3 linked regions of the Lepisosteus oculatus genome follow. The protein of the gene in region 2 interacts with the protein of the main gene of each other region in a pairwise test. Links are inferred from orthologs where the notes say so. Each region holds a gene or a part of one and is shown on either strand. Other genes may lie near its edges.

Region 1 (10,622 bases), on a different chromosome or scaffold from region 2:
GGTAGGGACTGGGTCACAGTAGTTAGCATTGCTGCCTCAATTCCGGACCTGGGGTGCTGTCTGTGTGGAGTTTGCATGTTCTCCCCCAGTTCACGTCGGTTTCCTCTGGGTGCTCCAGTTTCCTTCCACAGTTCAGAAACATACTGGTAGGTTAAATGGCTTCTGTAAAACTGTCTATGCAGTGAGTATCAGTGTGTCTGCTCTGCGATGGACTGGCGTCCTGTTCAGAGTGTTCCCTGCCCCTAAAACACTTGCTCGGTCACGCGCTTTCTCCTCGGTTTTCGCTGCTTTCAGCAAACCTTCCTGGATGAATTTCAGGAATGCACAGCACTTACTGTTCTGCTGTTGAAAGCATCTGCCCCACGAAGCGAAGCACCTCAATGTGTTTTTGCACGTATCCCATTCCTGAGGCCTGAAAACCCCACTTCTTTCTCCTGTGACCTGTCTGTCCACACGTCTCCCTCCCTGCACCACTCATCTCCCGCTTCAGCCCAGTTTGCTTTTCCCTTTTCCAAGGTGCAGTTAACAGCACCGACTCCTCTGTGACAGCGACGTCCTCATTGCTGTACGTCCAGTCCATCCATTTTCTAACCTCTTTATCTGACTGAGGTTCGTGGGGGAGCCGGAGTCTATCCCGGCAGGCACTGGGAGCAAACCGGGAACAGGACGCCAGTGCATTGCACTGATAATTTAATTTAATTATTTTCTTAAGGAGGACTTTCCCAACTACATGGAGCTTGGCTTCCGAATAGCCCTGGTTTAAATATGTGGTTGCCGGTAAATGCAGTCTGTTGACAGTTTGCTTGATACTTAATCACTACACTAATGCTGTATGAACAGCTTTTAATAGGTTGCCGAATCGGTGCTGATCAGATGGGTAATTGACTGAAACAATCAGTCCCTCGGTAAGCATCGCATCTGTTGGTAATAACAGCTGCAGAGCTTAGGCCAATTTCTAATCCCCAGGATCTGAAAACTGTTAAATAATACCTCATCCGGCTAGCTAGCGGGTCAACGTTGAGCTCAAGGAAACCACCGTCAGCGAGACTGAAACCCAGATGACAAGCTGGCCGTGGTAAAATGTTTGCACCATCAACGAACCTGGAATCACCCCGTCTCTCTGCCTCGGAAACAAATGATATTTTTTGGATCACAATGCACAGCTCCTCCTGCTGCAAGGACTAATCCCTGCTTTCACCTCCGCTCCCCTCGGTGGAGCGGGGCCCTAGTGCAATTTGTTTTCACGCAGGGATAACTGCAACCTGCTGTGAGCGTGGGCAGCTCCTGGATCCACTTAAAAAACTACAGCTGTGGCGCAGGGCTCCTGGAATCTCTCTCCGACTTCTCCTTCGGGCAAACCTGGGAGCTTAACTTTGAATTCGTCGCACCGTGACCCAGGATTTTGGAATCGCCAGTGGTCTAAGCAATAATGCACACCAAGGGAATTCTCAGAACAACGCAGGAGGGAGGCAAGGTACGACAACATCCTCCAAATCATGCACAGCCTCCATCCAACCCGAGGGCCCAGGGGCGAGGGACCGGGGCGAGGGCCCGGGGCGAGGGACCGGGGCGAGGGACCGGGAGGACACCCGATGATGGCGACACGCAAACCTGCAGTAGCAGCACAGCACTGAGGGTGAACAATGGAAGCCGACTGAGCCTCCACACCGGCAGAGCCCAGACAATGCAGCCTCCCCACCTGGTAGCCAAGGGTCACAGCGGGGAGCTGTTCCAGATTTTGTCCCTGATTTCTAGGTAAACAGATGAAAGCCATGTTCACAACGGAATCCGTTGTCACGGATGCCCCTTGGGGCATCACAATTTTACACTTCATTAGCCTGCCTCAAAGATGTCTAGTCGTCCGAGCAACTTGGTTTTGGAGTGGATTATACAATTTTGGAAACAACTACCCCTCTCGGTGACCTTGCGCACAAGTAAGGGATTAAAAAGTGGCTGGCAATTTTGTGGGCTTTTCAAAACGATCCCACAGTAGGTTGAGGGACTACAAGTCAGGCCTGAGCCATTACTGATACAGTGGTTTTGAAAACAAAGAGGGTATCGCCATCATTCCTCCATCCTTTTTCTAATCGCTTTATCTAATACAAAATATTCTATCACCTGCAGTAAATGGCTAATTAGCAGCTTGACTGGACCTGCTTAACTCTTAACTGAAGTCTTTACATGTTGATGATGTAAGAAACCTATAAAACCTGCTGCACTGTGGTGCAGAAACCAGAGTTGGCCTGCTGTGCCTTAAGGCCGATAAGAAGAATAAGCTTTCTATAGATGTTGAGTTACAAATGGAAACACAAAACTGACACACAAACCCGCACCTTCTCACATACTAAATCCTTGAACCCCACCACACAACTGAGGAGCAGAGGCACTTGCCAAAGTCAAAGGAATGAAGTGAAGTTTTGTGTCCTGTTTAGGACGTAACTAGACGCACACTGCATGTGTTCTCAGCACTGTGAAAAATACAGCCCCCCAGCCACTGAGAAGGCCTTGTGTACAAGCCTTTCACCTCTTTCCATGCCTCTCTGAAGAAATCCACAACAATACTGCTGGTCAAAAAGACTGTCGAGCACGTGTTTTCGAAAGTTGTTTTTCTGCAGCTCCTCTGCTCTCTAGGTCACCGGCACAGGAACCTTGCTCATAGCGCACTACGCAACTTTCTATATCTGTCTAAATTCTCTAATTTAAAGCCCAAGAACGCATGCATGACAAAAGCAATTATTTGTAAGAGCTGGACGCTTGCCTTGCTGAAATACAACGGGAAGTTTTCCCCCCAAAAGGCCCCGTCATAAAAACCAAACTGTATAGAAGGAAAAGGCCATTTTGGGTCAGCTGTGCACAATGGAAATCTTGGGAAAAATCACGGTCTGAAACTGTGAAAAGACGTTGATGTAACTGGTAATTTGACGCACTGTCTCCAGACCTCTTAAAGGAATCATACAGCAGCTGGTATCACAGAAAACAACTCTATAGGTCAAGCAGGAACAAAACCCACGTTAACGCATTAAGTACACCCCTTCTTGGCGAGCTGAGCACCACCTCAGACAGATGCAAAGAGTGAGTAATGTCACAGCTGTCTCACCTCCTGGGGTAACACGCTTGCCTCTTGCCCGAGCAAAACAGCAGCAGCTCACTCCGCAAGTGACTCTCCCGAACAAGCGAGCAGTCCGACAGTCGCTTGCAAAAAGGGGGCTCAGTTGTCACGCATCCTCGCTAGCTGTCGAAATACATCGCTTTTTAATCCCGAAAGGCTCGTTAACTGGTCGCGGGACTTGCAAAACACAACCAAACTGGGAAAAAAACAAACAAAAAAACAAATCTCGAGTCCTGTCGGTCAGAGCACTTGTAGTCCCGGGTTGTCGAGAGATTTACAAGTTAACAAAAAAAAAGAGAAACGAATTAAAGTGAAACTGTGCTATTTCGTTTCTGGGTTGTTTTCAGCTTGCTTTTTTTTCTCCTCCCCTTGACAAGAAAATATCCAGACAGCTATAAAACGTCCAATGCAGTCTTGGATTTTCCTGACAAGCATGCCGAGAGAAAAAAGCGAAGCCAGGCTATGTCTGCTGCTAAATTAAGTTCAAACATTTTTCTTGGCCTCGGGTCAAAACACGAGTTTTTCTTCCAGAGTGTCGCTGAAGTCCACAATAAAAAAATGCACATGTACGGGTTGTTAACGGGTGGAAGGGGTGTCCCGGGGTGGAGAAAGTCGACTTCAAGGCATTTATGAAATCCTGGTGTCCGTGCGAGAGGGAGAATAAAAAAAAACAACACCACGAAACCGCTTTCTCGATCGCACGCCTTTCCTGCAAAACTCGCACTTTTTTTCCGCCGTCTTCTTATCACGCAAGGATATATTGTTTTGTTGTTGTTGTTGTTGTTCTCCACAAAAGTCCCGATAGATAGATGCGCAGGGCCTCCACAAAATAATAATTACCAAAAAAAAAAAAAGAAGGAAAACCAGAACACTTATCGAAACTATTCAAGTTAAAACGATGTTAACGATCTGTGGGAAACAGAAGATCCGTATTTTCATGCACCGCGGAAGGAAAAAAAACCCCAACAAAAACTGCTTGTCCGGTCGAGCAGAAAGATAATCATGAAATCACTGCCCCGGTTTGGGGGCTATAATCAGATCTGGCGTCGAGGCTGGGGACTCCGGAGAAGTAATAAAACGAGTCCGTCAGACTTTGCAAACCCGTCAAGTTTTAAAAACAAGACGGAGCAGCCCGGCGCAAGCAAACCCGTGACGTTATGGTGAAGTTGTGAAAATCAGTTATCTCCATTTTTTTTCTCTCTCTCTCTCTCCCCCAAAGGCGAAGGGAAACCGCTGCAAACGAGGACACCCTCTTTAAAAACAAAAGTGTGTCCCTCCTCCACCCCCAGAAAAGAGCTGCAGGTTGGCGCTGAAGACTCCCACCGGAGCATGTCATGTCTTCTCCATCTCTGCTTTGATGGTTTTAATAAGACCTTCGCCACAGCAGCCCAGATCTCTGCCCCCCCCACCTCAAAAAAAAAACTTTGTATTTTTTCGGTCCGGTCTGGTTTTGACAAGCGCGGAGAGGGCAGCTCGGCTGAAGTCGAGACACACCCGCTTTTCCGAAAGAAGAAGAAGAAGAAGAAAAAACAAAAAGGGACCTTACAAAAAAAAACTCACGAAACGGTGTTTGAAGGAGCTCGGGTCCGCATGCACATCGCTCCAAAGTAAATTTAATCTCCTTGCAGCGAATTTCCTGACTTGAAAAAAAAAAACGCACTCAGTCACCGGAACCCATCAGTCAGCTTCCGAAAAAAAAAAAAACCTAAAGTTATGTTGTTTTTCAATTAAAGTAGTTTAAAGCTCCTTAACGTGGCACAATTACAGCATTCAGCTTTCTGGTCAATAAGATGCTCCCCATAACTGTTGAGGGTACCGACAATTCACATGAAGAGCACTAAAACAGCACCAAACTCGCTCGGGAGCGCGCAGTTCCTCCGCAGATTTCTTACGGCAGCCAGGTTACGCGCTCAGCGCCCGACAAGTTCCAACACAGACACGCATCTACTGGCTGACGTCCTTGCCGAATACGTCATGAACTTTGTGCTGGTTCGTCATCTAGTTTTGTGTGCAGGGCCAGCATACCGCGATATTTGGTTTGCCCCCCCCATGAGCTTGTCATCGGTGGTCAAGAGGAGCGCTTTCGCTTTGTTGCCCGTCGATACCGGTTTGGATACTGATGATTCAAACAGAATATTCATCCTCAATTGCTGATGTTACAAATTTCAGATTTTTTTTTACACGAAAAAGAAGCTCCTCATATAAAAAAAAAGATGAAACGCTGATGTATTTACAAAAATGTCATTACTAGCATCAGAGATTTGATATTCGACTTTGAATATCTGTAAAACCTAAACATGATACTTAGCCGAAATGTTAAGTTTTAATCTGCAATTCAGATTTTGATATAATCAATATCAAACATTTTATCAGCAGTTGAGGATTTAACTAGAGTTGTGTACCACATGTTATTTCTTCTACAGAGAAGACAAAAAAAAACTTAAAAGAAAGAGTGTTGTAATACAAAGACACAGGTTATTGCAATTGGGTAGTTTATGTGCTCTGAGTGCACAGTGACACACTGTTGCCTCACTGTGCTGGAGTCCTGGGTTCAATTCTGGGAGCTGGGGTGCTCTCTGTGTGGAGTTTGCATGTTAACTTAGTTCCCTTAGTTAACATGCATTTTCACAGGGTGCTCCAGCATCCTTCCACAGTCCAAAGACACACTGGTAGGTCAACTGGCGTCGGGGAGATTCTGCCCTGGTGCGAGTGTGTGTCCTGTAATGGACTGGCGTCCTGTCCAGGGTGTACCCTGCCTTGCCAGGATAGCCTCCAGCTCCCCCACGACCCTGAAGTGGATGAAGCAGTTTTAAAAGTGGATGGATGTCTTCTAAATATAAGTAGCATTCACACTTAAAAACAGGAATACCTAACACCACTTTACCCCCATCCTCTGAGTTGAATGACTCAAAATCAGCTTCAGTTCTACATTTTTATGTGAAACACAATAACATTTATTTTATGATGTATGATCCATGTTGGAATAAGGCACGATTGTGGTAGAAGAGGTTATTTGGGAAAATCTGAAATGTGAGTGCTAAACTCCTAATACGGTCATATCTATTCATACCAAGAGGGGTATTACTTTGCTTTTTGATTCCTGAAAAAACACACACACACATCTTTCATAAATTAATGGTTTTAATTTCAAACAGGTACAATACAACATCCAAAAATTCTGAACAGAATCTAAAAGTCATCCAGAACATTTGCAATCCAGTGTTCTGGATTATGGAAGGCATGATTCCCCGGGAACCTTCGAGAACAGGCTGGACAAGATTCTTCTGATCAATGAGAGTAAACAAATACGCAAGATGGGCCAAATGATCTCAATTTGTTTTTATGCTCTTATGTGGGGGCCTTCAACACGGAATTTGCTCTTGATCACACTAGAACTTGTACTATTGTCCTTCTCACAGCACAACAGCCAACAGCCCCTCTTGCTGTCTAGACTGAGTTAGATAAGCCTCTGATCTCCACTATGGGCATCCCTTGATAAATATGGGCTTGACCCCTGATGATGTTTCCTGAGGAAGGTCAGCCGGTTACCATGGTTAACTCTCCTTTGCTTTCTTTTCCCCTACTGGCCCAGGGCCAGAACAGGAGGCAGGTGGTTAGAAGCAGGCTTAGGCCTCCCCCTGGATGTTGTCCCACACACGGATGACGTCCGGACATTCGTTGAGCACCTCGAGGAGCCTGGAGGCAGATTCCATCTCTCCCTGGGACAGCTGTGCCAAGCTGCAGGCAACAAACTCTGGGCCAGCCGCCAGCGTCCGCAGCCCAAGGGAATCCAGGGCCTGTCTCACACCGCGCAGCGAGGACACATCGCAGATGAACTGGGGGAAGAGACCCGACGGAACACTGAGCAAGACGTCCTCCGATTCTTTTGGTGATATGGCAAGAAACTGCATACTTCGCTGCTCAAGGCAATTTTCTGAACCGCACGATGCTTGCCTAGTGTAAACCCAAATTTAAATACAATGTGATTCATATCTACAGTATGTCTGGACATCATTAATGGGATAAATATAAAAGTTGTCTAGACAGCTAAATTAGACCATGTCTGTATTAATCTGAAGACAAAAAAGTGTTTCGTAATTTTATTGGCTCCAATATACTTTTAAGCTGGCTATTTCTGAAATCAGGGGTGGGCCGCAGAAAAACAGTTTCACAAATCACTTCAACGAAAGAGCTTGCTTAAGTCTGAAAACCAGACAACACAGGGAGACTGAGGACGGAAATGCCCAGAACCGAGGGCATGGAGGACAAAGCGATAACGCTAATGATAAGAAAATGAACAGCACAAACTAGACACTGAGACACTGCCATCAGGGTCTTCAAACACAAAGTCAGCTTCGCTTCTGTCTTTTCAGCACAATTCTATTACTTCCTACAGGTATTAAACCAACTTTGGAAACTGGATATTTCGCATGAGCACTCAGAACCAATGGGGACTTATTTACAGAAAGGAACAATAAGGTGGGTTTTCAGGTCATCCGAGGTCTCATGGCCTGCTGTGACGGAGACACCCGCAGCTAACCCCACGCTTGCAAGGAAGAGTTGGTTGACTGGGGCTTACAAAAAGGAAAATATGATGGTAATAAAAACATTCTTAAATGTCGCAGAAAGCCGAAGGGTTTTCCCACCTGCAGTAATGGCTTCTCTTCCTCATCTTCTGTCTCTCTCACGTCTTCTGCTCCGGACTCTATGGCCAGCTCCAGCGCCCTCTCCAGGGACACGACTCGTCCCGCTGCGTCCTGCCCTGCCGCCGTGACCACACCCTTCCGCTGGAAACTGTACCTCGCCCCATCACACATTGTCCCTCTTGAGGGAGACAAAGCTTCGCTCCAGTAACAGAGGTCACTCACAGACGGAAGCTCTGCCTGTCTTGATCAGACTTATGTAAGAAGCTAAAGCAGCCATTTATCCTGGTTAATCGAACGAGAATCCAATCAAAAATGTTCTCTAGTTTAAAAATTAGAATCTGTTTGCAGAGTTTGCAGTGTGTCTGACAGGTGGGGGGCAAGAGGAGCAAATCTGCAGTTCCTCATTCTCCCCATGCACTACAGCAGTGGTTACCAGGACCCAAGTCACCAACAATTAGCAATACCAAACTGGGTGGGCCGACATTGGCAATATAAAATAGCGATACCAAATATAAAAAAAAATGACAAAAGAAAAAGGGATTGGAATGTTTGGAAAATGGGGGCATACCCGTTCTTCGCTAGGATGTGTTTGATCTCCCTGTGGGATCGTGCATTGTTGTCGGTCAGGATTTCAATAAGCAGGGAGGAGCTGCCAGGCCCCCTGCCTTCATAAAGCGCATACGAAGAGGCCTTGGACTTGTCCTGAGGGAAAAGAGAACGGTTAAAGAAACAGTGAGCTGACAATTAGCTGAAACACGTCAAGCTCCCGATGTTTACTTATGTAAGAGTCTGCAGCTTCTACATCCTAAAATGGGAAAAACTGCTGCCCATGTGAAATCTTATGTTTCGTTGTTGTTATCTGAAGATTGCAGATGAACTGTCAGAAAATTAGCCAAGCTACCAGCTACACATACTTGTGATTTCACCTTTTTATGGTTGGTGTTTTCTTGTAATCTGTATTGTACCTAATTCATGGTTTCTCATTTTAATATGACAGGATTTGGGGCATTTATCAAATTTTAAGTTCAGTTTCAATGAGGTTTCAGCCTGGAAATCTTCTACTGAAAATATTTTTCAAAACCCTTTAAACCCTTTTCAAAAACCAATATACTTCGAAGCATTCATTGAAAACTTTTCTAATTCAACCCGTTGATTTTCATTTCTTTTAGGATTTCAGTTAAGGACAATGACACAGTTGACTGCTGCAAACCACAGCAGAGGGAGCAAAGCCAAAATGTCCGAGACGTTGCCCAGGTCTACCTGGCTACTAAGCGCACTGGTGCTCATCAGACAGAGGCAAGGCAAGCCTAGAAAGCATTGACTAATGTAATGCATCCCTCCAGATCCTTGAACCTCGATCAAATGCAAACTTTGGACAGGGGGTCCCCAGGTCCTCCAGGTAAGAAAATGACTTTCTCACCGCGCCTTTGACTGCGGCCTCGATGGACGCTTTGGGCATGTTCTTGCTCCTGCACTGCTCAATGATGTTGGCCAGCTGGGCATTGAAGTCAGGGTTTGCTCCTCCTTCTGCACTGATCAGTGAGATCGAGAGTAAAAAAACAACAACAAGATGCCGATTGTACACCCAATTGGACCACTCTGATGCCTGAGCTTGTCTGACCTTAGAAGGTCAGGTCTGTTTAGTACTTGAATAGGAGACTTCTAAACAAAGTCAGGCTGCTGCTGAAAGTAGCACCGATGGACCGACAGCTGGCAGTTTTTCCCCTAGATCAGAAACTCTAAGAACAGTGACAAAGTATCCTTTGTCCCGTCCTTCTACACCGACATTAAAACCGACATCCTGAAGATCCCATGGTGCTATTCAACGGGAGAACTTCTCACCATAGTGAATGAATTGGTTAAACACCACTATAGCCTTGCTGGAGCTGACATGTTTCACACTTAGTTAAAATGTTGAAGAAATTCCCCAATTCAGCATTTTCTCTGTTGTGCAGTAGAGAGTTTATTAACTAATTCCTGTGACCATAGTACTGGATTTATGTAGGATGTTTAACTTTTGAATTAAAAGGGGGGTTTTCTCCCCTAAAAGGACATACCTCTGACAGCCAGTCTAATCATCAAGGCAAACTTCATAAACATGCGGCTCCTGGCAGCATCTTTGGGTCCCTTGATGTTTTTCACTTTGGACCACTTGTTGTGTCCGGCGAACCGGACAGAGCTGCAGTGCACAGAGCGGCCAGGTGGGGTCGCCCAGGACAGGCACAGCGGGAGCACAGCACGGGGCTGTCGGACGGTCCAGCAGCACAGCGCGGCCACCGGTGCGCCAGCCGCCAGCTTTCTGCCATAACCCAGGCAGAGTGACCGAGACATCAGCACTGTCCCTGCCATTGCTGCTGGCACTGGGGAGAGGGGAGAGGGGAGGGCAGCTTTCTCTGTGAAAACCCAAACACAGCATGAAAAACAGGCCAGGATATCACTGCGCGAGAATGAGTTGAAGACTCGTTCTAGCGCAGGCTGCACAAATAAAGCAGAAAACACATCTTTCTAAGATAAGTAAGGCTTAACAAGGTAAAAAAAACCTCAGGTAATAGCACTGGCGTAAGTACAGAAATCCAGCAGCTCATGTACACTGACACAGATCAAACTGCAACACAAGGGGAACCAGCTGTTTCCCTGAACCGAAGGAACAAGAAAAGCATATTATTGGTAGATAATAAATAATTGAGATCGAACAAAATATTTCCCTTGGCCAAACTATAAGAGGAGAGAAAACGTGTTTTCAATACTCGTTACCTTCAGAATCAAAATATATCAGGCCTTTGACTGCAACTATCAGTGTAAACAGATAAAACAAAGAAAATACAGCCGTTTCCTTTGCATGTTAAATTAAGATGAGAAGTAACGAA
Region 2 (10,506 bases):
TTATCTGGTTTTGGATTTTATGTTTGATTTGTATAGTGCTTTGTGATTACTTGTCATGAAAGGTGTTTTATAAAATACATATTACTGTTCCACAAAATATAATATATACAGTCAGAAAATGTGCTTTTTTATGCAGGGGTTATATGAGGTTTTGCATCATTTTTTGCCCTACCTGCAGTGAGTGCAATGTCAAAATGGGTTCAGAGGTTTTTATTTTACTACACATTTCAAGAAATGCCCTCAGGCACAGAACGAAAATGTTGATGCACTACTGACCCAGTAAATTTTCAATCGTATTTAGCTACCAGATATTGAAATCCATAAATCACTGACCCCAGTTATGTCATGATTACAGCACTTATTTTCCGCCTCTAGCAAATCTTGCTGTTTGCTCTATTGACAAAATCCATGGACCAGTACATCATAAGTGACACACACATACACAAGAAATCTAAGATTATAAAGCAAAAATAGGAATTTTTGCTATAATGTAATGATGGCCAATACATATTTTTGTGAGCTCTTATACTGAAGCATATTTTATAAGACATATCTCTATAAGCATGTTAGATACTAAAAGTCCAATATAGTACAGGTCTACTCAATTTCAGAAAGGATATAAAGGAAGAAGAAAAGTTTGAATGAATTTGTAACTGAGAGTTTTTTTGCTGCTAAATCAATGTTGGGCATATTCCTGCAAAGATGAAATATCAGCACAAAAAGACTGAGTGGGTTGTTGTTAACCTAACCATGCATGCCAAAATATTTTTTTAAAGTGTCTGATACAACTTAAATGTTCTGGTGTGTACTGAAAGCAAATAAGGAGGATACAGTTTGAAAGTATTCTCTGCAGTTTTGACAGCAGTGAAGTAAAAATGCAAAGCAAAAAAAAATGACAATGAAAAATATGAGTTGCTAATAACAGAAATGTAAAGATAAACACATGGCATAGAGCTTCCTCAGCTGAACAGCTTAAGGGTATTTATGTGCATACAATCTGAGAAACTGACACCTCAAATCAGAGGATTTGCAAGACTGTTATTATTAAGACAGTGTGTACCGATCACTGTAGGGGAGACACAGGTCTTTATCCTTGTGCCTAACTCAATAGATAATGAGACCATACTAGCAGGCAAGGTCAGAGAAAGCCAGTAGCCCAGTGCAACCAGGTCCTCTGGGGCCAAAGAAAGAGAAGACTTTATGAGTTTTGAATAGAGCAGGAAGAATTCAAGGGTAGAGTTGGGGGGCAGAAAATCTATTAAAATGAAAAATTATATAGCTGGGTTGCTGGTATCAAGCAGACCTTGCAGAAAAAAAAATACAGATCAATCAATCAGTGACCTGTGTTCACTTTAAATTACAAAAACCAATCCTGAACTGCTGGCAGATCACTTTTGAAAAAGGCCAGGTTCAGCCTTGTGCCTAGAAAAGTAACAAGAGCCATTAGAGCACCAAAAGCAATTTTGAACTTCCTAAAAACAGTTTACTTGTAGCAAAAAAAAAATTCAAGAGTATGACTTACATTATCAAGTAAGACACTGACTTCCATTCTTCTAAAACACCCTCCTTGTTATACTACCGTTGGAGGCCCTATATTTTTCTGGTTCTTAAAAGAATAAAAGTCTAACAAGTACATTTTTAACAAACAGTAAGCGACTACCACTATAATATTGCTTAAACTTGTATCTACGGCTTCTGTGCACATTAAGCACTTCCTCACAAGAATGTTTTATCTTTGTTTCACTATGCGACACGAGCAAAGGAATAGGTTTACCATTAGTTTCAAATAACATTATCTATTTTCAAAAAGAGGGAAAAATTACTTTGGACCAACTGTAATAATGTTTAAGTAGGTAGCTGCGGCAGCATGCGCACACTGCAAAGGGACACGTAAAGGCTTATCCCATGCTGAAAAGAAAACAAACAACGTTTTGGCTGTGGAACCTCCTTTACACTTTCACCACTGGTGTAGGATCCATGGCGAATCGTTCTGTTTCTTTTCTTTTCAGCATGGAATATAAACCTTTACCTGTCCGTTTAGTATAAGGTTTAGGCACACAATGAAAGTTCCATTTTATTTATGTAAAAGACCAGCATAGTCTGGAGCCAAAAGCTTTTGGAGATGGAAACACAAGTGGCTCACTCGGTAAAGGTGCTTGGTCAGAACAGAAACCAGAGCTCAGAAATTGCCAGCTTGTATATAGACTTCGTCACTTGCTGACTGTAAACAGGTATTCCAAAGCAGCAGTGCCCAGCTTTTTGTTAATTAACTAGGTTATACTTGCTGCATGCTAAGTAGTGCCAGTGTGAGCTGCATCATGCCTCCCACTGGTGCAAGCTCTCCTGTAAGGCACTGTGGGGCTCAGGGAGTGTAAAATCTAAATAGGGGACAGGAGGCAGTCATTATGAGCCAGCATCCCCATAACACCAGAGATCAGATGGAGAATTGAGAAATGAATTTACAGGGAAATGTAGATATGCAAAACCGTACATTTTATTCTAAATGTTGAAAAATAAGCTTGTAAGGATTGTGAAAAATAGACAAGACCCTGAAATTAAGTGCTTGTAAAAGAAAAAAACATATGGCCTGGGTCTGGTGTGAGTGACACATTAAATGGAAAGTCGGCCTATTGTGATATGGTTAGCAAATACAGCAAATACACAAAATTGAAAGAAAAAACGGTTATGGTAATATCACAAAAGGCATAAACTGTGATACATTAATGTATCAATATACATTGTAACAGTATAACAGTGTGCATTTAGAGTGCTGAAAATAGGCAATGGTAGGTTTCAATACTATACACACCTTTATAAATGTCACCTGTGGATACTCCTTCGCTATCTCTGCCATCACATCATTCATTTGGGTGCACTGTGGAGCCCATGATGCCAGGAAATGGATAACCACCAGAGACCTGGCAGGAAAGACAACAAAATTAAAGTATACATATGCACATTTACAAAAGCTCAGATCTTTTAGACAGGTTTATTGTCATTTTTTATACTACAGAGGGATTTGTTTGCTTACAAGTCCCATGGATCCAACACCTCTTTCTCTCCTAAAATACTTTTTTCACCACCCACCCAAGCTCTCACATAAACTGTTTTTTACTGTAAAACTGATGCAGTGAAAACAATCTTCCCACAGGTCCTCAGGACAGAAATTTGCAGAGCCCAAACAGAAATCTGTATAATTAAATATATTGTTTTCCAACAGCAATTGTAAAATTGCCTCTTTATGCAAAATATTTTACTTTAAAAAAAACAAAAAAAATACAATAAATCTATTTTAACTCAAAATAAAGAGTTTTTATCGTGAAGGTTACAGACTCTACACTTTTCTTTAGATTAAGGTACTCCGCAGTCCTAAAATGACAAATGGGTATTTAAAAAAAAATAATTTAAAAAATGTGAAAATAGTTTAACATATACATAAATTAGATACTGTTCCTTTCTGTTTGATTTAACAGAGCAAATGCAAATAAAACGTTGATTACAAAACTATTACATTTTACAGTACATTCATTTTTTACAGGAACGAGCAGAGGTTATGTAAAAAGGATATTTTAGCGTGGAATTAACGTCTCTTACTTTTCAATTACAGTTTCTCAACAAATTATATTCTTATTTCTCCGTATATCCCATAAATACTAAAACATTACGGACATATCCCGAGACAGAAAACACAATGGCTTTTCTGTCGCAGTCCGGGAAATCGCGGCCCGAGCATCAGGCCTGTCAAGTAGTAGGTTCGTCCAAGACAACTGTAAGATGTTGCTTGTGATGCAAAATGTATTAAGATCATCAATCCATATCACAAAGGCGAAACACTATGCCCCGATTCACCATAATTTATTCTGGTACAAAAGAACAAGCTTTTTTCTTATATTGTAAGCAAGTTCCCCTTTGTGTTATTTTATCCAAAGAGATCGATATTTTATTTTATATTAACACTTTCACAAACATAATTAAAAGGCTAGTGCTATAACGATTCTAAGGTTATTTTAATTAACATACTTTTCGAATATTTTAATATATTTTTGCACGTACACACAATGCCTTTTTCCGTGACTTTCCTGTAGCCTTCAGACTGTGACTATGCACTGCTTTACTAAGCCAAAACTTTAAAATCACACAATGTCAGTTACAGCTATTTTAGAATGGACATTTCACAGCTTTCACACATATCAGGTAATCATGTAAATCTGGATACATACTTTCCTGCATTCTTTAACAAATCTTCAAATTGCTGCGAAGAAGTGGCTTGCACGAAATTCGCCATGCTGACAGACTGAACTAATCGAACAGGAGTCGAACTACAGTTTGAGTTAACAAGGCATTAGTAACAGCACCCGAGGATAAGGAAACATTCAATTCTATCATTGAGGGATATTAGAAAACAATACTTGAAGATTAATATAGCCTCTCAGAATGTTACACATTCGAAATATTTTTTAAACGTGTATCTTTTTGGCTAGATGGTGCATATTTCTTCTTACATAGGTGTCGATTTGTTTCCCTTAGATTTCCTTGTAGCCCAAGCTATGAGCTTCATATTCTCTTTTTGATAAAATCTTGAATTACTAAATTTAGGGTTCCAGATACCAATCAATAACTACATTTTACTTTAAAAATACCTACAGTAAAGGACTGTATTCTCTTCTTTAATCAAATTATACTTTTGAAAAATATAACAGGTAGCCGTAATATTTCTGGAACTTTGCTTAAAAATAGTTTTTACATACCATATAGTTTAGATTACAATCACACTGTTAATTGACCACTTAGTTGAAATATCAGTAATGATTTCATTATCACATATTCTATTCTAATTTAGACTTATTCTAAATTACTTAATGATGCTGTCAATTAACACTTTGAGCTACTTATGTTTAGACATTAACATCAGGTCGTGAGCAAAATGAAACTTTTTTAACTTAGTAGAAAGAGACAATTATTTATTGCAGATATTTCAGGTTAATGTTATGAACAAGTATTTTATAAATTATGGTATATAAAGTTATAGTATACTTGGATTGCAATGAGTTTCAATTCACCATGTTTATTCACTGTAGTCTCCCTTGGAAACTAATGAATTTCGCCTGAACTGCTACAGAAAATATTAAATATCTTATTAAATCTTATTACTATTTTATTAAACGTAAATATATTTAATATGTACAAAATATGTTCTAGTCCCAGTTACTCAACTATCACCGCGTCTTGCCCCTCAGAAGTATGGCGTGCACGTCCTGACGTTTCTGGTTAGCGTCTCCTTTGATAGGTTGTTGTCCTTCCTGTACTAATGAAGTGCTCTGTGTAACGTGATTTCCCGCTGCGGAAAAAAAGATAACTGAAGAAAACTCTCAAGGTTGTATCCGATGGACTATAGTGAAGGGTAATAGACCTGAAATGCATTACTGATGATGGAAATGAATGGTTAGCGTACAATCCCAACCATATGCTATTTTACTTTATATTTTTAAATAAAAATATCCAATCGTTTATGTTCTCTTATCCTTGGGATCGCTTTTTAACTTTTATTACTTTGCCTGAAAATAATTGATTTGTACGATCAGATGGCAATGTCGATGGATTGCATGGTTCCAGCACAGAACAAACGCCGCCACGAAGAGGATCTTGATGTAAATGTGAACCAGACGGTAAGTCAGGACATGCAACATAAGCGTGTTTCGCCAACCGGTGGGAAAGCCAATCGGTGACGTACATGTAAGGTGGATTTACAGTACGTAGCGCCCGGCTGCTACAATGTTTATACTTCGAAGAATCAAGCACTTGATGTGTTAGTTACAAACTGGATATGTACTGTAGTATGACCTTTATGTGCCTCCTCTTGTGATAGACACTGCATTGAAATATCTGCTGACTATTTTTAGTGCTAAAGGTGGTGCTGCCAGAATAACTTGGCAATGTTTAGTCCCTTTTCATATCATATCATTCATATCATGTGAGCACAACTGGTTTTATCATGGTTAATTGTAGCTGTTACACTTGAAGCAGTTGAAAGTGTGCGTGTAGTTAGTTTTTTAGCTTCAAAATAGACCATTTTTTACTTTTAAAAAAGAGGCTGTAGTTTTCTGTTCAGCCTTTTTTCCCCTTCAAAACACCGTCTTTGTATAGTAGCCGGCATCAAACGTGCTCTGTATTATAAATTAATTCTGAGGCTGGGTTGTTACAGCATTAGGTCAATGACAGCATATTTCTATTTCAATGCCAAGAGTGCATCTTTTTTTTTCGGAAGAGTGGACATTTATTTCATTCAGTGAACAGTGGCAGTGTCTTGAATTATTTGAAGCATTTGTAAGAACTGAAATGTTACTTATAGCTACCAATAACAACACAAGGCAAACACGTTGCTAAGGGTTACCGTGCTTTGTTTGACTCCTTTCCCAGAAGCGGTTTTGCAGTGGGTCTGGAAGTTGTAATCAGTTTGAAAATGGCGCTGTGAGCACACAGTTAACAGAGAGTCCCATGGATACCTGGGACATGCATCAGCAGCAGTCTCTTCCTCGGTCACGGAATCCAAACTGCACTGCCTTCCTCTGTATTACCTCCACCCAGACCTCTGATATGGTAGGAGAAGTTTTCACGTCGTTTTACAGTACGTGCATATTTCAGGCATCTTATTTCTCATTTATACCTAAACACCTCGAATAAATGTTATTGATTCGGTCATGTATTATGACTGACACCCACTGCAGCTTGTGAAAATGTGTGCATTGCGTTTTTAATTTAAAATTCTCAAAAGTGCTATATGTGACAAGTAGCAAGAGCGACAAAGCCTAATTTGTGCATGAAAAAACACCAAACCCCTAACTTTTTATATTCAAATCTAACTGGTGTGCACCCTAAACAAAATCAATTTATCCTGGTGGAAATATCAGGTGTTCAAATCAGTTTCCTCTCTACAAAAAAGATATGTGGAATTTGTATGGCTGGACCCAAGGGGTTCACTATGAAATGGGCTAATATGAAAGGCACATGAAACTGACCCCAGTTACCTTTTCCCTTCTCTTCTAATATATCTGTTGCAGAAAGGAATAGGAAACAAAGAGTGACAAGTGATCCACTTGTATATAATCCCATTTAATTTTAACTTTAATGCTAAATGCCAGACTCAAAACTGAGAAGCTTACTTTCTGCTTTGTATGTTATACAAAGAGAGCCATAATGTTGTGTATTATTGAAGGCATTATGTTGACTGTCCTTTGAAAGAATGGTATTTTTATGTCTCCTTTGCTTTTTTATTTTGTAATTCAAGTGTTTTATTCTCATCAGCTTTTTTTCTCCTTTGTTATGTTGTATGTATTTCCAGTATGTTTGTTCTTTAACAATAAAATAGGCATTAGTTATTAACACAGTTACTATCTGTTTTAATTTATTAATACAATCCGTAACTCTGCAAACATTAGTTTAGTCGTTAGCATACATATAGTGTTTTATTATGTATATTGTGCTTTCTTAAATGCCAGGGAAATATCTTTAATATACCTCATCTCTATGTTATTTTATCAGAGGTATGCATCTGAAGATGGCGGATTCGTACAGCTCTGTCTGCGTTGCAAGGCTGGAGAGTCTGTGAGTATTTTTTTTCTGAGTATTGTAATTACTGTTTGCAAAGGTTTAAGAAGTAACACTTCTTATTTAATACATATTTTACATAATATAGGCTACTAGTTAGTCAACATTGCAAGCTACCGTTCTAGGCCCATAGTGAAACATTTTTAGACACTATTGAGTTGCCTAGCAAAAGGCAAAAGCCTAGGAAATTATTGTATTGCAGGTTCAAAGAGTCCTGAATGCAAGAAACCAGAATGTATGTTATTTTAAAATAGTGTTAATAAAGGAAGTGGTCCATGAAAAGCATTCGAATGTAAATGTTTTCAAACTTGTAATCTATATAGCTTGGAGAATCCATTGAGAAGGCCAAAAATGAGTGAATATTCAAATAAATTAAATTTACTCTAATGAAAAAATAATACTTCATTTGGAATATTTTGTAGAGTTTAGCTATTCATCCTCCAGGCAGGATAGATATATTCTAGACATATTGTGAAGAAGAGGTCCAGATCAATTTCTGTTCTGAAAGTTAGTTTATTTGTTATGGATTTAAAAACCTGAGGTTGTAACAGTAAGTAAGGGTTGTTCAAGCTTCAAGTAATTAAACCAACAACCAAGGGCAAAAATGAAAATTAAGAGCAGGTTTGTTCCATTTTCAGAACTGAATTTTAAAAAGGTTTTAAGTAAGAGGAGGTCTCGGGTTTGTGATTCACTGTTCTTTCTGAAGTAGTCCATTTCAAATTAATGCGTCTGAGGAATTTGAGCATTTGAATCAGGTCTTCTTCTTCTCTGATGAAGACTAAAAAGGTTAGGTTCTTTCAGCCTATCAGTTTAGGACAATCACTTGAATGCCAGAGTGTATCTGTTTGTTCTTTTCTTGACTGATTTCACAGTACCAGTAACTTTTGTATTTTACAATATTAACATAACATCCCTTGATTTGAGTTCTATGTTTCTGACTGAATATCATTTTGTATGCTTTTTTACTTCTTTCCTATGTTGTCTAGAAAATGTAAATGATGTAAACATAAACCTGAAACTCTCTTAAATCTCAAAGTGTTGCATCTTGTATTTCTAGTTTGTTTATACTATCTGCATTTAACACAATATGTAACATCTGACTACTGTTTGCCCGCAATTCTAGCTACATCTTTTTGAATTTCATTTGGTGCTTCTAGTGGTTATTAATCATGTTGTTTTGAGATTAGTAAATCAGTTAAGTTTGTTGACAAATACATCAGATTGATAATTGATTCAAAGTAGGAAAAGCGGTGGCCCTAGTACAGATCCTAGTGGTACTCCATTAATTACTTCCGTCCCAGTTGAAGCATTCACCTCTTATCTTCACTCAATTTTCTATTAACCAGTTTTTAAACACGTGCATTTTTCCAAAATCTTGCCGCCTGTAATTTTAAGAATTAAACTTTATCTAAAGCCTTCTGAAAATGTAAATACACCCTATCTTACGTTCAGTTCTTATACTGTTCCTCAAAGAATTCCATATTGGTCATCCTATAGTTTAGTACTAATAATTGTTTCCATAACATTGCAGTATAGACTGTTTGTAATTTCTTGGTTTAGTTTTATCACCCTTTTTAAGTATAGACAGTGTTTAACAATATATAACAATTCTCCAGTCCAATAGCACTTCCCCTGTCTCGAGCAACTGCTGGAAGAGTTAAGTTAATGGGTTATGAATAAAATCTCCTTTTTTCTTAAATACAAATGGTAGAATGCCATTGGTCCCTGGAGATTAATGAATTTTGAATGCTTCTTGTACCTGAAATACAGATATCTAAAATCTTCTATGTTGATGCTAATTAAAACAGAACTTTGACTTTTGTTCTTCGACAAACTAAGAAAGCAATCATTAACCATGTCTACCATTTCAGTTTCTGCTGCTGAAATTTCAATAGGTTTTTCCCAGTCTTTGATTTGCACGTTTTGTTAGAAGTGTGCATTTCCTCCTAGAATTTGTGTGCTTTTTCTTTCTGTTTCTTGGTTTCTTCTCGCCTTCCAGAGACATGATGGCTATGTTAACCGAGGTCTGTAAACTGTATTTGTGAGCTTTTGTTTATACAGTATGTCTTCTTTAGTCTTGGTTAGTCCTGTTTAGTCTTAAAAGAACAGCGACCTGTGCTTTTAAGAAAAAGCCACTTTCTAGTGATGAGCTTCAGAAAGGGAAAAAAAGGTGGAAAATCAAAGATTAAGGATAATTTTGAGAACATTATCATATTCTCATCCACTTCTGGAAGTAAAAAGAAAAAATCATCTGTGACTATTCTGTGTACAGGGCCTTGTGATTTTCACCCAATTCAAGTTTTAACTTTGATGAAAGTTACAATATATTGAATAATTTAAATGAGGACATAGCTCTTTATTATAAAAGTCTTTAAAAATAACCACAGGTGCCATTTTTTGCTCAATGTTTTTTTTACTAAGATATTGTAATAATTGTCATTTTTTATTTTGCATTTTTAACTGTGAACAATACAGTAATTGTGGTTTTCAGAAAGTATAATTAATCGCGGTCTTTTAGAATCCCATGAGCTGACTAAGGGGAAGTTTGTCTTTTGTGTTTTATGAAGTTGTGGAATTGTTCAAAATCTTCTCCATCATCTTTTCTTTTAATTTGGTGTAACACAACGACATCAGGAATACAGTAGAGGGACTTACTAAGGTAAGATAGAATGGGAAATACAGATTACAAGGTGATGATGGGTATAAAAAAGACGTTTGTTTCTGGTCGATTCTGTTGTCCAGTTAGCCTTCTTCACTGAGTGAGGATAAAAACAGTTAAAAATTGGATTGTATGTCACTTAAACTTAAACTAAAACTGTTTAATTTGTAAAGATAATTTTCTCCTTCTTTCAGGGTCATATTAACCATATCATGGGATTCTGAAAATCACTGTGCAGCCTG
Region 3 (10,325 bases), on a different chromosome or scaffold from region 2:
GAGAGAGATTTACTCTCTGTTGAGCTGGTATGGGTTTTGTGTATTTCAGAATAGCATAAACTAGTACACATGAAGAAAGTGTGTGGAATTGTTGCTACCAGCAATAGAAGTTGTTATGCCCCTATTCTCAGACAGCTTTATCTAGCATACTGCAATATATAAGGAGTGTGTGAGGGAGTGAAACCAGCACTCTCAGCTGTCATGCCTCTCTTCTCTAGTGTTCTGTTTCGCAGACAACAGGAAAGCTGGCACTACAACTGTTTTATTTCTACATTGCACCCTCCTCCTCACAAGGTGGGGGTGGAAAACTCTTTAGACCATTAACTACACTAACAGTGATGAATGATGGATATTGTTTTTTATTTCCTTGGTCTTGATGACTTTAAAAAGCTACAGTACCACTGAAAAAACTGTTTGAAATTTAACATTGAGTTATATCAAGTTAGGAACTCTCAAATATCTTTATTAATTAAGAGTCATTATCTTTATGGTTAACATTACAAGTTAAAAGGATAATGAGTAATGCTTTGTGTTTTTTACTTTGCAGTAGAATGGTTAGTACAAGCAAATTTGTTAAGTAAAGAACACCCTAATTATGCTCTACATTATCCTCAGAGATGTTGAGTTGCTCTGGATAAAATCAGTAACTATTTTATTTTAAATACAATTCTTTTGGTAGAAATAATAATGGTGAATGGACATATTAAACTCACCTTAAAATTGTATTCATTTTCCAAACAAAATAAAGCAAACTAAGTTGTGAAGATGCTTTTAAGTAATAGTTTTATTAGAGAGGGACACAGTTTGCACAAATTAGGTTGTATTAAAACAAAATGTCTAGATTCTTTGTTGAATCCCACTATGTTTTGCTGAGCACATTACAACACCAAATTAAAAAGCTGATGATTGATAGCAAGAAATTTGATGTGGTGATTCAACAAAGAATCCAGCCAAAAATTATTAAAATTGACCTTGAGTCCAACAAAGGATTTAAATAAAAGCCAATGGAGAAAATGTGTCTTTGGAGATTAGAAAACAGGTAAAAAGTGTTTTTTTTTTCAAGAAAAGAGCTGACCTATACATTTAAATATTTACAGTACGAGTCAAAATACTAATGAGTTAAGGAAATGTCCTATCTACATCCGTTGTAGTTGCACACTTAACTGACGCAATATATAAAAAGACGCATGATTACTAAATACTGTCAGTAAATTATTGTCGTTAATTGTAAAAGTATCAACTTTTCCAAATTGTGAAACACAATTGGTGATTTCTTACAGTGATGAAAATTTTAAATGTGATCCGAACAACTTTTATAGACCTACTGTGGACTAACATATTAGTCAGCCTCATCTCCTTTTTTATTGTTTTTGAAAACTACCTAAATAAACAATTTTTCTGTAAATGTATGCTGTAACTGTAAGAGCACATTGTAGAAAAGAAAACCACACAAAAAAAATTATAGGAACAGGAATATACACTCACGTTCAAATACAAAAATGCTTTTCTTTAAGCAGCTCTTACCCATTACAAGCTGAGTTTTCAGCGTTTATGTATTGTAGGTGTGTTTAATTTAATACAGACATTTTTTACAGTAGCTAAAGAATACTGTGCATGAAATCAAAAGTATTTTTGAAATATTCTGCAGTCACAAATAAGTGACTGGAAAAAAATGAATTTTTATGTTATACATAACCTTAAAATTATTGCAAAATCTTTTTTTATCAGGACCCTTCAGCAGTCCATCCCCAGCTGATTAGAAAGAAAATCCAATTACATTTCCCCAGATACTATTACTCAATGACTTTTAATAACTTAAACCTTATGTCCAACACATATTTTATTCATTTGTTGCATTCACTGTTTGCATTTATAATTTCCCAAACACTTTACAGTTTACTTTACATTACTTTACATTACATATATGTCACAAAATTCACCAAAAAAAGTAATTTTAAATACACAGACCACATCTTAGTATTTCACTGAAATTCATCAGCATTTGAAAACAGTGTGAATGGGACTTGATATTTTACAGGTGTTGGCAATCTCATACTCTCTCAAATCCAGGGACAGTATGTAGTCAGTAGTCTTGTCACAGATATGTCTATTTCTGGCTTCATAAAAGTAGATCAGGAGTCAGCAACCATAGTTTTGGAAAGCATAGTGTTACCTGTTTTTTGTTCCAGGTGAGCTCTGAAACACTTAATTAGATCAGTCAGTTGCCTAATTAGGAGGAATAAACATGTTTTTCAGATCTTTCCTTCTTGACTTACTGAGGCTGCCTATAAAACCTGCAGGTCTGTGGGTGTCCAGCACCAGAGCTGCAGGACATTTATCAAGGACGAAAGTGTTGGTCAATAAGATACAATGAATTGTACTGTTGTGTTTTGTGATTAAAGTTGCTTTCTAGCCATGAATCAAACAATCCTATTATTTTGTTATATAATCGCGTGTATTCTCAAATGCCATGTGCAATATACTGTAGTTGTGTGCCAATAAACCAAGGGTCAGGTTTATTAAGCATTCAGGTTTGTGGTGTTTATGGCATTTGTGAGTATTAGCCATATTTAGTTATCGGCTGAGCAGCTTCGATTGAAGCCAGAATTCTATTTCACAAGCAACTCACTAAGGAGAACATCTGAGAACCAAAGAAGTCCTTGTTCTTTGTTAATGTAACAGTCAGAGAACAATGGAAGTATAAAGCACTCTCTCCATCTCTTTTGGCTGACATCCAGATTTGCTCAGTAATGCATTCAGGTTGACCCTATTCGCTTTCCACATCATGAGGTTTCGTCCACCGTCCAGCTCCTGGGTGAATCATGCCTAAAGCTCGTGTTCTAATTGTTGATGAAAATGACATCTGGAAAACTGAGTTTATATATCCAGTGTCTAACAACTCCTGTGTGTGCAGACAAAAAAAAACAGAATCCAAAATAACAAATCCACTGGTAGCTGAATAAATATAGTAGGTAGATATGACTATTTTATCTGTTTTCATTTGTTTGAAAATAGTTCCGGTTTGTTTAGTCTGAATGACCCCTCATTTAAAGAGAATTTGCATAGAATACACATATGTTAATTTCTGTCAAAAATAGAATATTTTGGTTTAAATTTGTTAAACAATGTAGTCCACAGCATTAATATTCTCTTAAAAACTTTTTTTTAGAAAACCCAGCTGGTGTGTTTATTTCTGGTTGTCTTTTGTTGTCTTTTCTAAGGACACTAACAAATAGGGTGCATTTTAGAAATTCAAGATTTTTGTTTCAAAATTTAAAACTTTAAAGCATTTTCTATCTTTGTATAGCTTGCTAAATTCGTAAACGAAACAAAAACTCTTCATGCTGGTGTTGTGTTTCCAAGGAAGAGAGATTCTTATTTTCTATTTTCCTTCTCTGTAATTTCACAGCTGGCACAGTATTCATGATGAAATACAGTGATGTAGTGTAATATCCCTTTGATTCATGTCAAAACTCACTGAACTGCACGTAGACACTGGCTCCTCACTGAAAACCACTGTTAGCCGTTAAACTGTAGGCATGAATCAGCAATGAAACGCATCTGAACTATGTTAGAAATTCCAGCATACTAAACAGAATGCAAGTGCTTTCGGCACTTGGACTCACTTAGACTTGGTTATTTTTTTATATTAATGCAAAAATAATTTTAAATTAAAAGTAATGATAATAAAATTAATGTTAAGATATGTGTTCTGGACATGTTTTGTTTTACTTGTAGTTAAAATAAATTGTGCTTTTGCTCTATTTGCTCTCACTGTTAAGAGAGGTATCTTAAGAGTAATTCCCTTCACAGTGTGCCAGGACAGTGATGATAATCCAGAATTGTAAATAGGACTGGACTGCACACCTCTTCAAGGTAACAGTTTAAATTCACTTAAATCATAATTAGTTTACTTATAAATGCCTTTCATCAGAAGTTTGTAATTAAATAGTTTACACTAACTTATTACATATTTCTATCAGGAAAGGTAAAATTTAGGCAGGGGTCACTAGCTTTATTTACTAAATACCTTTCTTTTCTAGGTTGCATGTTAACTGATCCACACCAGTAAGTGGCAGTTTAAGACAACCTAGTCAAAGATTTTTTCTTCACAGCTGACAAGAAATCCTTATTGTTTCTGATTTTATTAAAATTGTATTATATTCTTTGGTTGTCTATTTAAAGTACTCTGACAGTGGTTTATAAAATAGTTTTAGTATTCATCTGACTAAAATTATATATAAAAGACAAATTGTGATACAAAATAAAGTGTAATTCTGAATGTTTGTGAGGAAACAAAATCAAACCTTGCCATCAAATATCAGAAAAATCAGGGACAAAATAATTATTTGGAGATGCCTTTTGTGAAGATGTTTTAAATTCAATATTTAAGTAAACTGTCTTAAACATTAGCTCTGTCTTTACAAAAAATACATTTCGACAAACACTCCGAAAAAAAGTATTTATCAAATGACACTGTTGCTGTGCTTCTGAAGGAGAAAAAAGAAGAATTGAAAACGAGGAATCAAATGGTCAGCTTACCTTTATGGTGCTCCTTACTTTCTTTTTCAACACTGCTGTCTTCTTCTGATGATGAAGTTGATGACACTACTATAGTCAGGAAAAGAAGAGTTTGTAGGATAAAGACTAGGAAAACTTTACCTAGCATCTTAATTACTACCTCTTGGAATAGCCCTCTAAGTCCAGCAGGAGTCTTCAATCAGTGCCTGCAAAACTCCACTCCTATGTACAGAGTTATAAAGCCTTGCAGCAATGAGTCAGTAACAAATCACCCTTGTGTAATTTAAAGGCTGCAAACAGGTAAATGACACTGCTGTCACCAATCACAAACAGGCAACCTCTGAAGGTGCCCACAATGTCTTGTGTTTAAAAAGGCTAACTGCAGTCTAATCTAATCCTGTTGTCTAGTAGAGCTACACTTGCTCTTTAAGTTTTTTCTTCATTCAGAACAAAGTCCGGTGCTCTGTGTAGTGTGAAGGGGTGTGATTTGTTTAAAGGTTTTAAAGATTTCTGAGTATCACTGAACCTCAAACATGTCATTAAATCTCCCAGTATGCACTACTGTCCAGATTCTAGAATTTCAAAGAAGAAGGAAAAGATGCATTCTGTAGAAGCTATGTCCGTCCTACAATTTTTGAGTTAATCGTTTATGTTTGTTTTAGCTTTAACTCCCGCAGGTATTTTTTTATTACAGAGAAAAAAAATGTTTTGTTTTCATTGAAGAGATCTTGTCTAGCATCTTCATTAAATAGAGTTAAATACAGGTCCACATGATTAAAGCAGCTTTGCTACAGCAATATTTTATATACTGTATATACCCATCTAACATTTTCACATTTAAATTTCACAATAAAAAGTGCCTTCATAGTCCCTCTCACAATTTTCCTCACAATATCTGAGAAAGATTAGAAAAATAAAAAAAAAACATTCAAATTAGAATGGGTTATCAGCACATTGAAAAGCTGGGTATATCATTTGTTGTAACTAAGGCTGAGGAAATGTGTAACTCTGCTGATATACTGTGGTGTATCAATTGATCTCTTATGAATATCAAAAGTGTGCATGAATTGTTCTGTGTGTAAAAGTATAATTCAAAGATGACTTTGTGGGATCAAAGACTCCTGCTGCATTTCTATCTTGAGTCAATCACTCTGTGTAATTCACATATACATTTGCAAGTCATACAATGAATTGATTCACAGTAATGCACAGCTCCACATTTTAATGTCTTTTTTTAATTCTAAGCACTTACTGTATTTAATTACTCAATGTATTGATTTTTAAAGATAACATTAATATCAAGAGCAAAACCCAAGGCATTTCACCATTTACAGTATGTTTGTAAAATTGACACATGCTCTAAAGCTGAGATTTAAAATCCCCATAAAGAAAGTATGAAATTGCAGTTGTAAGCTAGGAGGAGCTTATCAAATGAGAAGTGGACCTAACAGGGGGAGTGTTCCCTTAGGTCTTCACCCTCCTTGTGTGACACAGGAGATTGCAGCTGGAAAGTTTTAAAACTGGATGGATATAAAGTCCGGGAGTGGAGCAAGTGGCAATTTCATTGTTATTTTTGTAAAAAGGTACACCATAATATTTAATTGGGAAAATGATACAGCCACAGATTCCTGACATTGTTTTACACTGGTCTTGAGGCTCATAAGCATGGTTGACCACAGGGTGAAGAAAGATATAAGATGTGAAAAAGGGGTTAGCTGATTTCTTTCTGCACAAAGACTTTTTGTGACACAAGACATTCCAGGCTTAAGCACCTTTGAGTTATGGCTGGGAGGGGAGTTAACTGATAAGAGATTCTAAGTGCAAGATAGAGACCCCCTAACTAAGGAAAGATAAAAACCTGCTATTCAAAGTGGTCAAGGTCTTGGGAATGTCCAAACAAAGGTGACCTCCCCCAATTACCATGGTAAAAATTTGCGTCATAAATGGCTAAAGTTTCCTATATAAACTGTAAGTTTTGTACCTATATTCCAAACAATACTTGGATCTTATTGTTCCTTGCATGCAATAAACTCAGTTGTTTAACCTTCATCTCGGATTCCGGAACGTATTTTTCTGTTACAACAAGAGGTATTCAGAAATGGTACAGAAGTACACATCAGGAAGCAGCTCTAGTATAGTCTTTATTATTCTTGCTTCATTTGATTTGTAATTGATTTTGTGCAATAATAAAGCATTACCAGGAAAGAGAAGGAGATTTGCAGAATCTAAACTAAAATATTCCGGATATTTCTGTGCATGTCCTTTGCGTGAGATGGTCATTTTTAAATGAATGATTTTTCTAGAATACATCCTAATATCCTAAAATTATATAAATAAATACATAATATTTTGAAATTATATAAAAGTTGCATTACATGTGGAACACCTGAAAGGTACTGTAAGGAATCTTTGAACCTGAGCATCTTGATAAAGTGACACACAAAGGCAACCATAACGTATAAAAATAGAGCTCTTTTTTAACATGTATCTCTCTGAGACTTAAGTCTCTTTCTCTTACTTCCTTGATCCCTTTTCCCTCTGATTTCTCTCACCTAAGAGGCTCTGCTTTCCTCCTAAAGAGCAGATGTCAATGACCAATGGAAGCACCTGCTTCCCGCTCTTTTACCTTTACTTGACCAATTGTCCTACTTCAATTATTTTCTTCCAAATAAGAAAATGCCCAATAGAAAATGGAGTGATTCTAACCTCATGCCAAAGATGTTAGTGATTTGGTGATAGGGAAGCCCTTGATCAGTTATCTCTAAGAGTTATCTCTTAGACGGGTATCTCTAAAAATCCCCCAAAACTCTGACATGAAGTAAATGCCGACAAAGTTTGGATATAGAAAAGTGAATAAGAGCATTACAGGCCAATCCCAAAGGAAAGTCAGTACTGTTTTGAAGATTTTCAGTTGCAGGGAATATGATCTCCACAGCATATTATGAAAATGACCTTGTTTGAGAAACTGATAGATATGGGGACTATGGTGTGCACTAATTGAATGCTGATGAAAAATATGTCATTTGTATTAATAGTAAACTATTGTGTGATCCTTTATGGTAAGTGCAAATGAATGACATTCTCACAACAGTATGGGTTAGTTAATAGAGTATTTGCAAATTGCCTTTCAGGGCTTTTTCTGTTTAGACAAATGATCAGGTCCACATGCTCAATGGATGCAGGATTCACTGCTATAAACCACCCAGACAGACTTTGTATTTTTAAATCTCTTTACTAGTTAATACGGACTCGCTGATTCATTATAATAAACATTTTTATTTTCCTTTGACTCTTCTCACTCTCTGTTGTGAGAAAGTGAATCTACAGTAGCTTAGCTCAAACACACATAACATGCAAAATGCCATTTTGAATGTGAAACCAATGCCCTCTAATGAGCGAGATGACAATTGCACTTGCAGTTTCCTTGTATTGATGATGACCAGCCTTTTGTGTAGCATTTGTCTTACATTAATTAATTTTTATAACAAAAACTGCACATTGCAAATTGTCAGTTATCCTGAAAAATAAAATGAGGAACTTATGTAGCAAATGTTCCTAAATCTGTGTTTAAGAATTGAAAACGAGGAATCAAATGGTCAGCTTACCTTTATGGTGCTCCTTACTTTCTTTTTCAACACTGCTGTCTTCTTCTGATGATGAAGTTGATGACATTACTATAGTCAGGAAAAGAAGAGTTTGTAGGATAAAGACTAGGAAAACTTTACCTAGCATCTTAATTACTACCTCTTGGAATAGCCCTCTAAGTCCAGCAGGAGTCTTCAATCAGTGCCTGCAAAACTCCACTCCTATGTACAGAGTTATAAAGCCTTGCAGAAATGAGTCAGTAACAAATCACCCTTGTGCAATTTAAAGGCTGCAAACAGGTAAATGACACTGCTGTCACCAATCACAAACAGGCAACCTCTGAAGGTGCCCACAATGTCTTGTGTTTAAAAAGGGTAACTGCAGTCTAATCTAATCCTGTTGTCTAGTAGAGCTACACTTGCTCTTTAAGTTTTTTCTTCATTCAGAACAAAGTCCGATGCTCTGAGTAGTGTGAAGGGGTGTGATTTGTTTAAAGGTTTTAAAGATTTCTGAGTTTCACTGAACCTCAAACATCTCATTAAATCACATTTAAATTTCACAAAAAAAAGTGCCTTCATAGTCCCTCTCACAATTGTCCTCACAATATCTGAGAAAGATTAGAAAAATAAATAAAACGTTCGAATTAGAATGGTTTATCAGGATATTGAAAAGCTGGGTATATCATTTGTTGTAACTAAGGCTGAGGAAATGTGTAGCTCTGCTGATATAGTGTATCAGTTAATCACTAATAAATATCAAGAGTGTGCATGAATTGTTCTGTGTGTAAAAGTATAACTCAAGATGACTTTGTGGGATCATAGACTCCTGCTGTATTCATTTCTATCTTGAGTCAATCAGTCTGTGTAATTCACATATAAATTTGCAAGTCATACAATGAATTGATTCACAGTAATGCACAGCTCCACATTTTAATGTCTTTATTTAATTCTAAGCACTTACTGTATTTACTCAATTTATTGATTTTTTAAAGATAATGTTAATATCAAGAGAAATACCCAAGGCATTTCACCATTTATGTTTGTAAAATTGACACATGCTCTAAAGCTGAGATTTAAAATCCCCATAAAGAAAGTATGATATTGCAGTTGTAAGCTAGGAGGAGCTTATCAAATGAGAAGTAGACCTAACAGGGGGAGTGTTCCCTTAGGTCTTCACCCTCCTTGTGTGACACGGGAGATTGCAGCTGGAAAGTTTAAAAACTGGATGGATATAAAGTCCGGGAGTGGAGCAAGTGACAATTTCATTGTTATTATTTGTAAAAAGGTACATCATTATATTTAACTGGGAAAATGATACAGCCACAGATTCCTGACATTGTTTTACACTGGTCTTGAGGCTCATAAGCATGGTTGACCACAGGTTGAAGAAAGATATAAGATGTGAAAAAGGGGTTAGCTGATTTCTTTCTACACAGAGATTTCTTGTGACACAAGATATTCCAGGCTTAAGCACCTTTGAGTTATGGCTGGGAGGGGAGTTAACTGATAAGAGATTCTAAGTGCAAGATAGAGACCCCCTAACTAAGGAAAGATAAAAACCTGCCATTCAAAGTGGTCAAGGTCTTGGGAATGTCCAAACACAGGTGACCTCCCCCAATTACCATGGTAAAAATTTGTGTCATAAATGGCTAAAGTTTGCTATATATACTGTAAGTTTTGTACCTATATTCCGAACAATACTTGGATCTTATTGTTCCTTGCATGCAATAAACTCAGTTGTTTAAACTTCATCTCGGGATCCAGAACGTATTTTTCTGTTACAACAAGAGGTATTCAGAAATGATATAGAAGTACACATCAGGAAGCAGCTGTAGTATAGTCTTTATTATTCTTGCTTCATTTGATTTGTAATGTGCAATAAAACATTACCAGGAAAGAGAAGGAGATTTGCAGATTCTAAAATAAAATATTCCGGATATTTCTGTGCATGTCCTTTGTGTGAGATGGTCATTTTTAAATGAATGATTTTTCTAGAATACATCCTAATATCCTAAAATTATATAAATAAATACATAATATTTTGAAATTATATAAAAGTTGCATTACATGTGGAACACCTGAAAGGTACTGTAAGGAATCTTTGAACCTGAGCATCTTGATAAAGTGACACACAAAGGCAACCATAACGTATAAAAATAGAGCTCTTTTTTAACATGTATCTCTCTGAGACTTAAGTCTCTTTCTCTTACTTCCTTGATC

What was found.
Region 1: the proteins of glrx3 (region 2) and map3k3 interact in a two-hybrid assay, tested with the Homo sapiens proteins (2 studies listed by BioGRID and IntAct). The link is inferred for Lepisosteus oculatus from reciprocal best matches to the Homo sapiens genes GLRX3 and MAP3K3.
Region 3: the proteins of glrx3 (region 2) and ca9 interact in binary tests that used the Homo sapiens proteins (3 or more experiments, as listed by UniProt). The two-hybrid records come from large-scale screens. The link is inferred for Lepisosteus oculatus from reciprocal best matches to the Homo sapiens genes GLRX3 and CA9.

What each region holds. Positions count from the first base shown.
Region 1 is NC_090723.1:1,796,952-1,807,573, forward strand, and holds the start of map3k3 (mitogen-activated protein kinase kinase kinase 3), read right to left. Parts: upstream 5,039-10,622; 5' UTR 3,098-5,038; intron 1-3,097. Other genes in the region: translational activator of cytochrome c oxidase 1, read right to left, coding at 6,736-6,945, 7,756-7,933, 8,324-8,457, 9,176-9,282, 9,813-10,104. UniProt on the Homo sapiens protein: Component of a protein kinase signal transduction cascade. Mediates activation of the NF-kappa-B, AP1 and DDIT3 transcriptional regulators.
Region 2 is NC_090699.1:25,570,990-25,581,495, forward strand, and holds the start of glrx3 (glutaredoxin 3), read right to left. Parts: upstream 4,329-10,506; 5' UTR 4,286-4,328; coding exon 4,221-4,285; intron 2,919-4,220; coding exon 2,810-2,918; intron 1-2,809. Other genes in the region: uncharacterized protein C10orf143 homolog, read left to right, coding at 5,583-5,666, 6,418-6,597, 7,540-7,602, 10,459-10,488. UniProt on the Homo sapiens protein: Together with BOLA2, acts as a cytosolic iron-sulfur (Fe-S) cluster assembly factor that facilitates [2Fe-2S] cluster insertion into a subset of cytosolic proteins.
Region 3 is NC_090698.1:46,945,390-46,955,714, forward strand, and holds the start of ca9 (carbonic anhydrase 14), read right to left. Parts: upstream 5,039-10,325; 5' UTR 4,670-5,038; coding exon 4,543-4,669; intron 1-4,542. UniProt on the Homo sapiens protein: Catalyzes the interconversion between carbon dioxide and water and the dissociated ions of carbonic acid (i.e. bicarbonate and hydrogen ions).